3 linked regions of the Danio rerio genome follow. The protein of the gene in region 3 purifies or fractionates together with the protein of the main gene of each other region. This does not show direct contact. Links are inferred from orthologs where the notes say so. Each region holds a gene or a part of one and is shown on either strand. Other genes may lie near its edges. The genes, in order: chd1l, lig3 and aplf.

Evidence for each region.
Region 1: the proteins of aplf (region 3) and chd1l purify together in Homo sapiens (affinity purification with mass spectrometry; 4 studies listed by BioGRID and IntAct, counting the BioPlex papers as one, with this or other methods). This does not show direct contact. The link is inferred for Danio rerio from reciprocal best matches to the Homo sapiens genes APLF and CHD1L.
Region 2: the proteins of aplf (region 3) and lig3 purify together in Homo sapiens (affinity purification with mass spectrometry; 3 studies listed by BioGRID and IntAct, counting the BioPlex papers as one, with this or other methods). This does not show direct contact. The link is inferred for Danio rerio from reciprocal best matches to the Homo sapiens genes APLF and LIG3.

What each region holds. Positions count from the first base shown.
Region 1 is NC_133181.1:39,408,209-39,411,862, forward strand, and holds part of chd1l (chromodomain-helicase-DNA-binding protein 1-like), read left to right. Parts: intron 1-1,488; coding exon 1,489-1,570; intron 1,571-1,736; coding exon 1,737-1,899; intron 1,900-3,564; coding exon 3,565-3,654. UniProt on the Homo sapiens protein: ATP-dependent chromatin remodeler that mediates chromatin-remodeling following DNA damage.
Region 2 is NC_133180.1:66,733,617-66,738,021, reverse strand, and holds the start of lig3 (DNA ligase 3), read right to left. Parts: upstream 2,801-4,405; 5' UTR 2,642-2,800; intron 449-2,641; 5' UTR 399-448; coding exon 1-398. UniProt on the Homo sapiens protein: Isoform 3 functions as a heterodimer with DNA-repair protein XRCC1 in the nucleus and can correct defective DNA strand-break repair and sister chromatid exchange following treatment with ionizing radiation and alkylating agents.
Region 3 is NC_133176.1:54,936,988-54,941,296, reverse strand, and holds the start of aplf (aprataxin and PNK-like factor), read right to left. Parts: upstream 2,927-4,309; 5' UTR 2,763-2,926; intron 2,600-2,762; exon of another isoform or gene 2,582-2,599; 5' UTR 2,579-2,581; coding exon 2,486-2,578; intron 1-2,485. Other genes in the region: fbxo48 (F-box only protein 48), read left to right, coding at 3,486-3,575. UniProt on the Homo sapiens protein: Histone chaperone involved in single-strand and double-strand DNA break repair.

The sequences.
Region 1 (3,654 bases), on a different chromosome or scaffold from region 3:
TTTTCTTTCCTGTTTTTGGCATGAAATTATATGAATAGATATAATAACCCTTAATACTGCTACTCAGGAATTTTGAATGTAATTAACCGTGTTTACACAATAGTGTTTTTTCCGCCTAAGTTCTGCTGGTTGACGCATGTGCTGAATTTTCCTTGCCAATCTTAAGCCAATTGTAATGGTTTGTTTTGGTTCAATGTGGAATTTCCACAACCCTTGAAGAGCTCGGGGGATCAGAGTGATCCTACTTGGCCCCACCCTGATCCAGAATAGTGTTTTTATATATATATTTTTTATCACTTATTATTTAATGATGGTGTTGGAGATGTATATTTGTAAATTTTGTTTATTTAATGTTAAATTCCCTCTCAAAACATGCTTTGTGGTCATTTAACACTTTTTAAAGTTAAAGGTTCCGTGAAATTAAAATAAAGTTTTTTTTTAGATGTAACAAGCAGTATGTTAGTTAAGGATGTCTAATGGATCAACAAATCACGTAACCTCATACTTCAGTTTCTCCTCAAATCTTGGTCAATCTTATGCTCTTTAGTATCTGACATGCCCCGCCCCCTTCAACACTCATTTGCTTTTCATTTGATGTGCTTGAGCTCAACCGTTTTCACTGACAGAGCTGTGAGAAAAACAATAAAACAAAGCCACTCTGTCCCACTCTCTCTTCATGTTTTAGTTGAGATTACGTCCAATTTCGGATAAAAATTACACAATTCACAGCACTTTACAGGACTTCTTCGTAACCTAATTTTAAATGTAAATATTGATTAATTCCACAATTTGAATTTTAAGCCCTATGAAATTTTTCCAAATTCTATTTTATTATAATTTTTTTTTGTTCCAAATGTTGTTTTTCTCTGTCTTTTTTATTGTTTTTGATTAGAGTTGCTTGTCGTTGGTTTTTTAAAAATAACTGATTTATAATAAATTAGCCATTTGTAGCTGTAAAGGTTTTGTGTCATATTTTTAATTATTTAGACAAAAATATTGTCTAATTTTTTTTTTTTATGTCCAACAAATATCAGTTATCAACATGAAACAACATAATAACAATAATGTACAAATCATTCATTCATTTTCTTTTCGGCTTAGTCCGTTTATTAATCAGGGGTCGACACAGCGGAATGAACTGCCAACTTATCTATCATATGTTTTATGCAGCAAATGCCCTTCCAGCTGCAACCCAGTACTGGGAAACCATCCATACACACTCATTCACACTCATACACCATGAACAGTTTAGCTTATTTAATTCACCTATAGTGAACCGAAGCACCTGGAGGTAACCCACATGAACATGGGGGAGAACATGCAAACTCCACATAGAAATGCCAACTGACCCAGCTGGATATCGAACGAGGCAACTGTGTTGTGAGGCAACGGTGCTAACCATTGAGCCACCGTGTTGCCCAATAATGTATCATAACATGAAAATTGTAATCGGTTTTATTGTTGTAAGTGACTTTTTTCTTCCCACAGCTGGAAATGGAAGATTTTAGTTGTGGATGAGGCTCACCGCCTCAAGAACCAGGAGTCGTTGCTTCACCAAACCCTCAAAGAGGTTACACAATTCCACTTTAACACAATAGGCATGCTAATGCTTTAAAATTTGCCATTGTTGTATATAAATTCACTGTCAGTCTATAAAACTCCTGATAATAATTCCCCTTCCTGTCATTTTCTCAGCTTTCTCTTTCTATTAACTGACATCCTTTTTTCCCCCACAGTTTACAGTGGGATTTCGAGTGCTACTGACAGGCACCCCCATTCAGAATAACTTACAAGAAGTCTATTCCCTCCTCACCTTCATCCAGCCCAGTGTGTTTCTCCCTGAAGCTGTTGAGGACTTTGTCAATGCCTACGCAGACATACAGACTGAACCTGCTCTTGGTATGACAGCGCGAGGCATTGCAGTTTGAGTATAAAAATCAAATCCTTAGCGCTGAAAGACGTTTTATCTACCACGACCCTTATTAGCACTTAAAGCTTTTGGCTTAATCAAATGTTAAAAGGCACCTTTTTTACCCCTTTTACAAATCTAAATAAGCCTTTGGTGTCTCCAGAATGTGTCTGTAAAGTTTCAGCTCAAAATACCCATTAGATATTATTTTATAGCCTCCAGAATTTTCCCATTTTGGTGTCTGAGTACATTGTAGCTGCTTTTGCAGCCTGTGGCTTTAAATGCAAACAAGCTGCTTCTCCCCGCCCACCATTCCCACGTGCATGTCTGCTTCTCATCATGCGTTAGGTCAAATAAACAGTAGTCAGTGATAGAGACAGGCGCGCATAAAGCTTAAATACAGCTCATTAGTAAAAAATAACTAGTATTTGTATTTGTGAGTTAATTCAAGCCTTTCTGAAATGATGAGTCTCACACAAATATGACGCAACACACACACACACTCACTGCACATGGTGATTATAACTGTTAGGAAGTCGATTTTGATTTTACTTTCTTTATTACAAACATGCTCTGTTTTAAAAATGTTTTAAACTTTTAAAAATCACAGAGAGTTGTAACAAATATTTGAATCCCAGTTTATTTGCAAATTGTTCTGTGGACGTGTGTATACATGTTATTATACAAACATGATGCCTGTAAATCAATTCGGTGGGTGGGGAAAACTGCACTCCTATGTCACGTTGCGGTGGGTCTCAAAATTACTGACATTTGGGTCCTATTTTAATGATTTTAATGTCAATAAATAATAATGATGAGACTTGTTGGGTTTGTATCACTCCAATATGACTGTGGACACACTTTACATACAGACAGTTCTGTCCAGAAAGCGTACAAAAGTTGATTTTCATCATAGGTGCCCTTTAAGTAGTCATAGTAACTGCCTTAATAAAGCTTGAGGGCGTTAGTTTAATAGGCAAGCTCTATATAAAATAAAATTACAAATTATAAAATTATAAAAAGCTCTTTTACTGGTCGCTTTAATTGTCGATTTTGGTGAAAATTACTGTGCCATGACTTCCCGACAGAAAACATTTACTTAAAGGGATAGTTCAACCAAAACGAAAATGTTTTCACTATTTACTCATCTTCAAGTGTTTCCAAACATTTATGAGATTCTTGTGATGAACACAAATTAATATATTGTGAAAGCTGAAAACCTGCAACCATTGACTTCCATAGTATGAAAAACAAACACTTTTGAGGTCAATGTATATAGGTTCCTACAGTAGCTTTCTTCAAAATATCATCCCTTGTGTTTGACAAAAAAGTCAAACAGGTTTGGAACAAGTAAAAGAGGAGTAAATGATGACAAAATGAGCAGTTTATGGTGAACCATTCCTTTAAATCGTTTTGTTTTGTTATTATTAGAGCTCTGATCTGAGTGATATGAAGAAATTGGTCTGATCTGGTGCCAAACTGAGTACCTCAGATAAACCACAGACATGACAGAGCACACACACCTAAAAAAAGATGTCAGAATAGATGCTGTCTCCTTGACTCCTGTCAGATTTGCCAGAGGCTGTCAGAGGATAGAGCTCATAAATTTGTCACATTTGTGCTGGAGTTTGTAATATTGTTGTTCTTGTCTGCAGTCGATGAGCTTCATCAAGTGCTCCAGCCGTTTTTGCTGCGCAGGGTTAAGGCAGAAGTGGCGGCCGAACTGCCCAAGAAGACAGAGCTCG
Region 2 (4,405 bases), on a different chromosome or scaffold from region 3:
ATTTCCCCTGCAGACTCGCTGAATGGGTTTGGAACGATCTTGCCGATCCTGACCAGACCTTTCATGATCTTGTCTTTGCATTTCTTGCAGCCAGCCGTGCCACGTTTGGCATATTCAACACAGTATCTCTGCTCCGCCATATCCGCTTGTTCACTCCTCCGCACAGGCCAGGAAATGTGGAAATAAGAGCTGGATATTAAAGTAAATGCTGGAGTGTGTGGCGCACAGAAAAAGACTCCACTGGGGCTTGATTCAGAGCCCCGTGTAAATATAAGAGTCCTCGAGCACTGGAGATATTGGTGTTTGAGTGTTGCTCTAAATAAAGGCTCCCAAGAAATTTTGGTCAAAGATGATCTGCTGAGTGTTCTTAATGCCCTGCCAAGCCAAAGACTGGGCATAAAGTTCAGTAAGACAGAAAAGTCTTCATCTCATAAAATAGACGCGAATCCTTCAAGAAAAATAGAAATAGAAAAATAGTTATCATGGTTAATGGTGGTCATTTTGAGTTGAGTTGAAAACTTAAGGCTAGTATGGTGAGCTGGCAGTAGGGCTGTGCGATTAATTGAAATCGAATTGTAAATGCGATTTGAAATGTTGCATTTAGTTAATCGCAAATGTCTGAGATATGAAATATATATCTGCATAATATAATTTCCCCCACCCAGAGCAAATGCGTGACTGCCGTCTGTGTGTGACAGCCTTACTAGCAAATTGAGTGAGCTCACTTTTGTCTGCCCAATAACAATTGCACAACTGAACTTTGAAATAACTAAAAATAGCTGATTTATTTATGACTATGTATTGGAAAAAAACAACTGAAACACTCAATGTAAACAAGTAAAGAAAAAAGGTACGAAAAAAGGTATTGGTTAGGCATGGGACAATAACCATTATCAAGGTTCCGGCGGTTTAAAAAAGTCACGATTTTAAATCGCCAACATTTTCTGTTATACCGTTCTTACGGTATATGTAAGATTTTTTCGTTTTTTAGGACAACAGTATCTCCAGCAGAAATTATGTCCAAAAATGCCGCTTTTAAATTGTAAGGACATTTGTGTTTTAGAAACTAATGAAGACAGCAGAAGTCTGTAGCTATGTTTCCATCCAAAAATGCGAATTAACTTTATGCACCCAACTGGATTATCGCATAAAAGACGTGCAAATGAAGCAGCGTTTCCATCCAACAAGTCAAAGAGAACAAAATCGTCACTTTATTATTATAATTAACTGGCACCAAATATCAACAGTAAAAACGGAATTTGTGGAATCTGCGGCAGGAGAAGCTGCATGACTCTTTTCCTCATTTAATAAATGACTTGCGCCTCAGAAGACAATGCTGACACGCAATGAACAAGTGATGGTGTTTGAAGAAATGAGATGAGGAGCAAAAATGCTCTCGACAGTTCTGGGGGTAATTAATAATATAATAACACTAATACTGCAACGGTTAAGGATTTTTAGAAAGACCACAACAACATTTCAGATGTTTTTAATCTGGTCAGCCTGCTGATTTGTCCATTCACACACATTTTTATCATCACATGATCTCTTATAACAAAATCACATGACCTTTTTAATGTGCATACTGGAATTTGTTGCTAAAAGTGTTTCCATCTTAGTTTTTGTGCATCTTTTGTTGTTGAATAAAAAGTTTATCCTACTCAGTTGTGCATACAGTTTTTATGCGCATTTTCAAAATGTATGTGCATCTTGGCGATTTGGTGGAAACATAGCTAATGAATCATATGAATCATTTAGCCTGACATGTTGACTGTTTCAAAATAATTTAAAAATTTCCCTAAATTAAATTACATTGTGTTCAAAAAGAAAATAGTTTTAGTTTTTTACTCAGACTTTTTAAAAGAGCATATTTTAGAGCAGTAATAGCAATTCCGTGAAACCGTGATATTTTTATCCAAGGTTATCATATCGTCAGAATCATATAGCAACCAATGTCTAGTATTGGTACAGTGACAAAATGCAAAACCTACATACATGCAGTCAATCATATGTCTTTTTATGAATCATACAGTAATGTTCTGTTCTAACTGAGGTAAAGTTGGTTTTATATTCACTCATTCGTTCAGTAGCAATAAGTGCCAGGCTCCCAATACTGTTGGTACTTTGAATATTCGGTCTGAAATCATATGTAAATATGACTTCAAAACAACATTAGCACTATTTAACTGACTGTAAACATTGTTGTACTTTGATCGTCATAATAGTCTGATAATGTGATTTCACTATTTACAAATAATATTTTTCTAAAATTATATTATTTAAGAGAAAGTCTGAATGTACGAATATAAAACGAACTTTACCTCGTTTACGTTTATAAAGAATTTAGTCGTGTGAATTACAAAACACCTGCAGTAAAACAATGCAGTGCATGTGAAAATAGACTATTTAGCAACTTTAGAAAAACTAAAACGGTAATTTTCATACAGCCTGTCCTAAATTTATCGTTTCATACAGATACAATGTCACTTAAATTTATTTGTTTATAGTTTTGTTTACGTGTCGCTTTGTTGATCAACGTGGAATTAGCTCACATGCTAATGTTAGCTGCACTCTGCACCAACAGCCATAAAGAAACTAACTACAAGAGGCAGCATTGAAGTTATTTTAAATTCCGGATTACCTCAGTCTTCATTGTTAGCCGATCCCAAGCTCCGGATTTCATTTTTAAAAAGCACTCACAGATGTATTAGCAAAAGAGCATGATTTCTGTATTGTGTGCTGTCCCCTTTAAATCACACGAGTTCTTCCTCTTTGTTTGGAAGTGGTTCCTGTTCAGTGCGCATGCGCAGAAAATTCATGTTCGTTTCATGGTCATATTATGTGTTGTTCAAATCGTTTATCTATCTACTTGGCACGAATCCGAAGTGACTGATTCTAAACACAACATTTTCTCGTTGAGACTCGTTGTAGTTTAAAAAAAAAATAAAACACGTTTTCTAACCAAATAAAAGCTTGATATTAAATCCACAAAGTGATGTTTTCCAGGACCTGTTAAGAGAGCTTATATACTGTTTTATCATGATAAGAAAAATGTGTGTGATATTCAGTAGTGGAAAGAGTACTAAAAACATAATCATGTAAAAGTACCTCTTGCCCAAAAATGTAGTCCAAGTTGAGTTAAAGTATCTGTTGTAAATACTCAAAAGTATGAGTAAAAAGTAGTACTCAAAAGCTGGGAGAGGTTGATGCGTTCACATGTGATTTGTGCATGTCTGTGTAAACGTAACATTCTGTAGTGCAATGTAACGTTAGGGGAGCGCGGGGCACAAAGTAACGTGGGGTAAAACGTACACTTACATTTTAAGGTATTTTTTCAGGGTTAACCATGCCATCCTTCCAGGTTTGCACTGCAGCATCGGAAGATGCCTTCATAAGTTCTGCAAAATTTGGATGAAAAACAGGAGAAACCATTATTGCAGCATAAAAGTATTTTTTATTAAACTCTATTTTTTTTATTTTTAAAAAATCTGTGAACATATGTATGAAAAGACTTTTATTTATGTGATTACCATCTTCAAGGCTAAAAGATGGAACCATTTTGAAAAGTGTGAGACTGCTTGCCAGTTTTGAGGAAAACATAACACAGAGTGTTGTAAGGGGGGTTTACAAATAATCCACACACTGTTGGACACCGATTAAACTTAATAATTGTTGAATGTTGAGAACTTTTCATATAAAATGTTTTTAATAGAAAATATTTTAATAGAAAAAAATAATTTTATTGCTAATAAATGGATTGTATAATAACGGATAATTATGCAAATAAATCCAAATGTGTTTATCCAATAAATAAATAAACATGCTGTGCTATGTAGAATAAAAAATAGCTACTGAGGAAATACACTATTTAAAGTAAACAGAATTTAAATTAATTGTGTGAAATCTGCCTTTTTAAGCATGTGTTACAACTAACTCACTGTTACAACTTGCCCCGCAGTTGGGGTAAACAGTAACATTTTTACTCCTAGCACTTTTGGCAATACTGCACAGAAATCATAGGACCGGCGATCATACTTTCAGTGCTCATTTGTAGGAGCGGCTTGTGTGTTGCTGGTAAAAAAAAATATGGTTCGGACTTTGTTTATTATTTGGCCAAAACCAAAAAGTGTTACTTTGTGCCCGGCTCACCCCTAATAATACATTTCTTAGAAGTTTGATTTATTATCCTGCGACTTTTAGACGCAAGTACTTTTGGAATAACCAATTTGAGAATATCGACTGGAACTTGATCTGGACTTATAACAACAAATATTGTGTCACATGTAGAGTCAGTGAAATGTACTTTAAAATTATACGTAAAATATATCAACCAGTTTCTCAAGAGTTATAAAGCTGATCTTTCTGAATCTTGTTTTTTTGCAGAATAATGGTAAATATTTCTGGT
Region 3 (4,309 bases):
TAACGACGTCATTACAAATCATACTACCCCCAAACTTTGGAATAGTTGTCTATGCACTGCATTACTTCATAAAGAGGATCCAATGGCACTTCTAATTATAACGGTCCAATGACGGCCATCACTATCATGACTGTTAAAGCTCAGTGTTGTTCATCAAACATGTTGCAGAACATTAAATGACTGCATGAGGCCACTTCACTGTTATATGGCTGATTTAAAGCCCTCATCTGTCACATGAAATGGCTTTAAGAACACAGCGTTCAGTCTTGTTGCGACAGATTTCCTCTTAAAACAGGAAGTTTGTCTGAGACGGGCAGGATGTGTCATTTTGAAAGAGAATGGCTGTAAATGTAAGTGTTTATATGTTAAAAGTGATCAACTTTTAGGTGCACATTAGCTTACAGATGCCCATCAAGCAGTTTTACGTTTAATAGATGTCTAATAGACATCTAAACATTGACAGGTTGGCTAAAGCAAGACTATATTTGGCCTTAAATCTAACAGATGTCTAAGAATAGCCCAAAAGTAGACTATAGTCATCAAATGCCAAGGTTTAGACTTCACACGTGTAGTCATGTATTCCTGTTTATTTTATGAGTAGTTTAGTATTTTTAGATGTCTATTAGGCTTATTTTAAACACAATAAATGATTGATGGGTGGTCTCAAAATGAACAAACATTAACTAAAAAAAACTTTTTTATTTTATAGGGTATTTAACATCCACTATTTACATTGTGGCTGTTCTTCCTGGGATCCAACAAAAAAAAAAATTAGGAATTTACATGAAATCATGATCAAAAACAATACCAAAAGAAGATTATTACATTCAAATAAAAAAAACTGAAACTATATAGAATATTTTGTCATCATATTCTCAGCCTCCAGTTATTTCAAGCCTGTTTGCGTTTCTTCTGTTGAACACAAGAATAACATATAAAGAGAAGACTGTTGAAAACTTAGCCACTGACTTCCACTGTATTGTAATTCCTACAGAAGTCAATGGCTATCAGTTTTCAACATTCTTTAAAATATCTTCTTTTATGTTGCTTTAACGATCACTACAGACATTTGTTAATGCGATAAAAACTATTTATTTACATCAGTTCATGAGATATGAGTGTCTTATTTCTAACCCTCAGATGTAAGAGTTTGAGTGCCATCTTCAGGACTTGGTTGCTCATCGCAGGAAGATAAATGGCCTGCATTAAACTGAAAGTAACAGATTTGGTTGAAGACCCTAAAGCAGCGCTTACCAAACTATTACAATAAAGCTGTCATGGTGATTTACTAATTTATTAATATTGAAAAATAAATAGAAAAATACTTCAATCATATTAATAATTATATATTTTTAAACAGTTTTTAAAATGAACTTCTTACACTAAGAACATAAATACATTTATAACACAATGCTGTTTAATGCTGAATACACAAGTCAAGCTGAACCTGCCTTTGGCTTGATTTGTTCGCCGATGACTTAGGTGTTGTCCTCTATCTTCGAGTGACAGTATTTACATTTTCAAAAATCTGATTCATGCACATTTAATTGAAACATTTAATTCCTGTTGACTTTTTTGTAGCTCAACAATTAAACAAACAAACAAAAGGTTACGTTAAATTAGAAATGTCCATCTGTGTTGAAGACATTTGATGCAACCTTCGTTCTAAATCTCTTCTCAGATGGGATGGCCAAATCAAAGTTTACCATGGGCCAACTTTGAGCAACTCTGCCCTAAAGTAACAAGTAGAAAACATTCAGCGGGCCAAAATATTTTACTTTTGCAGGTTTAATGTCTTTAAAAAGTCTTACATTTTACGGTGAAATAGCCAACAATTTAATTGTTGGGTCCTGATTACAACAATAAACATTAGCATGTTATCGATCACTTACAGTATAGCTGCTTTAAATCAAATGAAATTTAAATAGTTTGAGCAATAATGTGATTAATTAACCACCATATTCCTGCTTAAATAATGCCTGCTTAAATAGTATTAATAAATAAATATATTTATAATTGCCTTGTATGCTTAATTAGAAGAAAATTAAGAATAAAAAAGCTTTATATATATATATATATATATATATATATATATATATATATATATATATATATATATATATATATATATATATAATTATGAAGACAATCTGCATTTGTTCTTTGTTTTACTCCTAAAATACCCACTTACAAACTTGAGAGGATTTTAATAATGCACATTTAGAATAAATTTACATAAACATACATGTCTCTGTTATTTTTATGCATCAAAGAGACTTGTTTCCCCATATAATATTTACTATACAGAATGTAAAAACTTCACAGCTCTAGATCTTATATCTGCTTAGAAAGCAAACAGAACCTTGTACTTCCAAGTTGGCACCCATGTTATCAACTTAAACCTAATAACTGGCACACTGTTAAGAACACATAAAATAATTTAATACATATATGATTAAGCCATATAGGTGAAAATGTACTGCACCCCTAGAAATGGCCCTCTGCCCAGGACAGTCTCTCCATAGGGCAGATCCACAGGACTGCCACCGTCCACCTGCTCCAGCTCAAAGCCTGGCATGATCTGTGCAGAACAAAACACCTATTTTAATTAAAAATCAAAGTGAATGCTGGTTAAATAAGGACATAAAGTGCATGCAACTGTTCTAAAGCTTATCTTGATCCCGCATGCGCTGCTCTCTCCATACTTTACATGATCTATACAAACTCTGTCATTTAGTAACTAACTTCAAGATGTTACTTACTGCTGATTTAGACGGCTAAGATGAATGCGTTAGTGTGTTACAAACAGCAAGCAAACTGATCGCTGCTTCATTAGTACAGAAAACGCGAAAGAAACACTGTGATCACGCCAGAATGTAGTACAATTTGAATAATAATTATTTTTCGTACGAGAATAAGGACTTCCGGTCAGCTCAAACTATGAGCATGCGCTGTTTCAATACACACGATAGACATTTTCTAAACGTTTGCGCATAAATTAGCAAAAATGCATATAATAATACGAATATTGAACGTTTAAGTAATACATTTTCCAAACCATACTTCTGACTTAAAATAACTCATAAAGTGACGCGCATGCGTGGTGAGTACGGGGCGAGGCTTGTCTAGTGACGTTTCTGGGGTAAACAAACCAGACGTTTAAACCCTCAGCTGTCAGCGCTGCTTTCGGTATGAATTTTCACAAATTACCACAATATTTTCACAAATATCATTACCTATCGTACCTCAAATAGACATATAAACGCGAACATCTTGGGTTTGTTTTTTAAAATCTGTTCTAGTCTTTGTTTAGCTAGATTTACATTGTCGGCGGTGCATCTGCTTATAAAACTAGGCCTAGAATGTTAATTACACTCGCTGTTTAAACTTTAACACCTTAAATAGCATTAGATTTGTGATTGAACTCTTCTGTCATAAGAATAACAGGTGTTTAATAAAGGTTTGGGGTGGCCGAGCAATGCAGAATGTCTGTAGAAGGAGCAGCAGCGCCGTCTGCAGGCCAGAAGCTGACCCGGTGGTGTTGCTCCGGGCTTCAGGATCCGCTCCAGATTGAGGTAAAGTTTACATTCCCACTTTATATCCATCTAATATTTTTTTTTTACATCAAAAGTTTAACTGGGAAAACAATTCATGCAGCTTTTGTGAGAAAGATATTGAAACTGTAGAACATTTTTTTTTTTCAATGTGAAATTCTAAAAACATTTATGGAGGGAGTTTCAGTACTGGCTGCATTACAAACAAAGACAAATATACACTTTCAAAGTTGGTATATTTTTAAAGGGCAAGGACCTAGACTTTTTGGTAAATAATCTAATTATTCTAGCTAAACACTTCATTCATAGATGCAAATTTGTAAAGGTGAAACCCCACTTTAATGGATGGAGGAATGATCTGAAGATGTTTGTAAGGACTTCTCACTTCATGACGAACAGAAATGCCCGTAAACTTTCACACACCTTGGACTCGTTTATATTACTTGATTAAGACTCTCACCCCCCCCCCCCCCCCCCCAACCTCCTTTTTTTAAATGAGTTTTATTTTTTATTTGTGTGTGTGTGTGTGTGTATGTGTGTGTGTGTGTGTGTGTGTGTGTGTGTGTGTGTGTGTGTGTGTGTGTGTGTGTGTTTTGTTCCCAATCATGTACTTTTAAATCAACTCTAATACTATATGTATTGGACTGTTGAATATGCCGTCATGGTTTGTACTTTAACTTATGGTTAATAAAAAAAAAATAAAACAATAAAAAATATTCCCACAGTTGTTTATTTTTGAACAATGACAACATGTG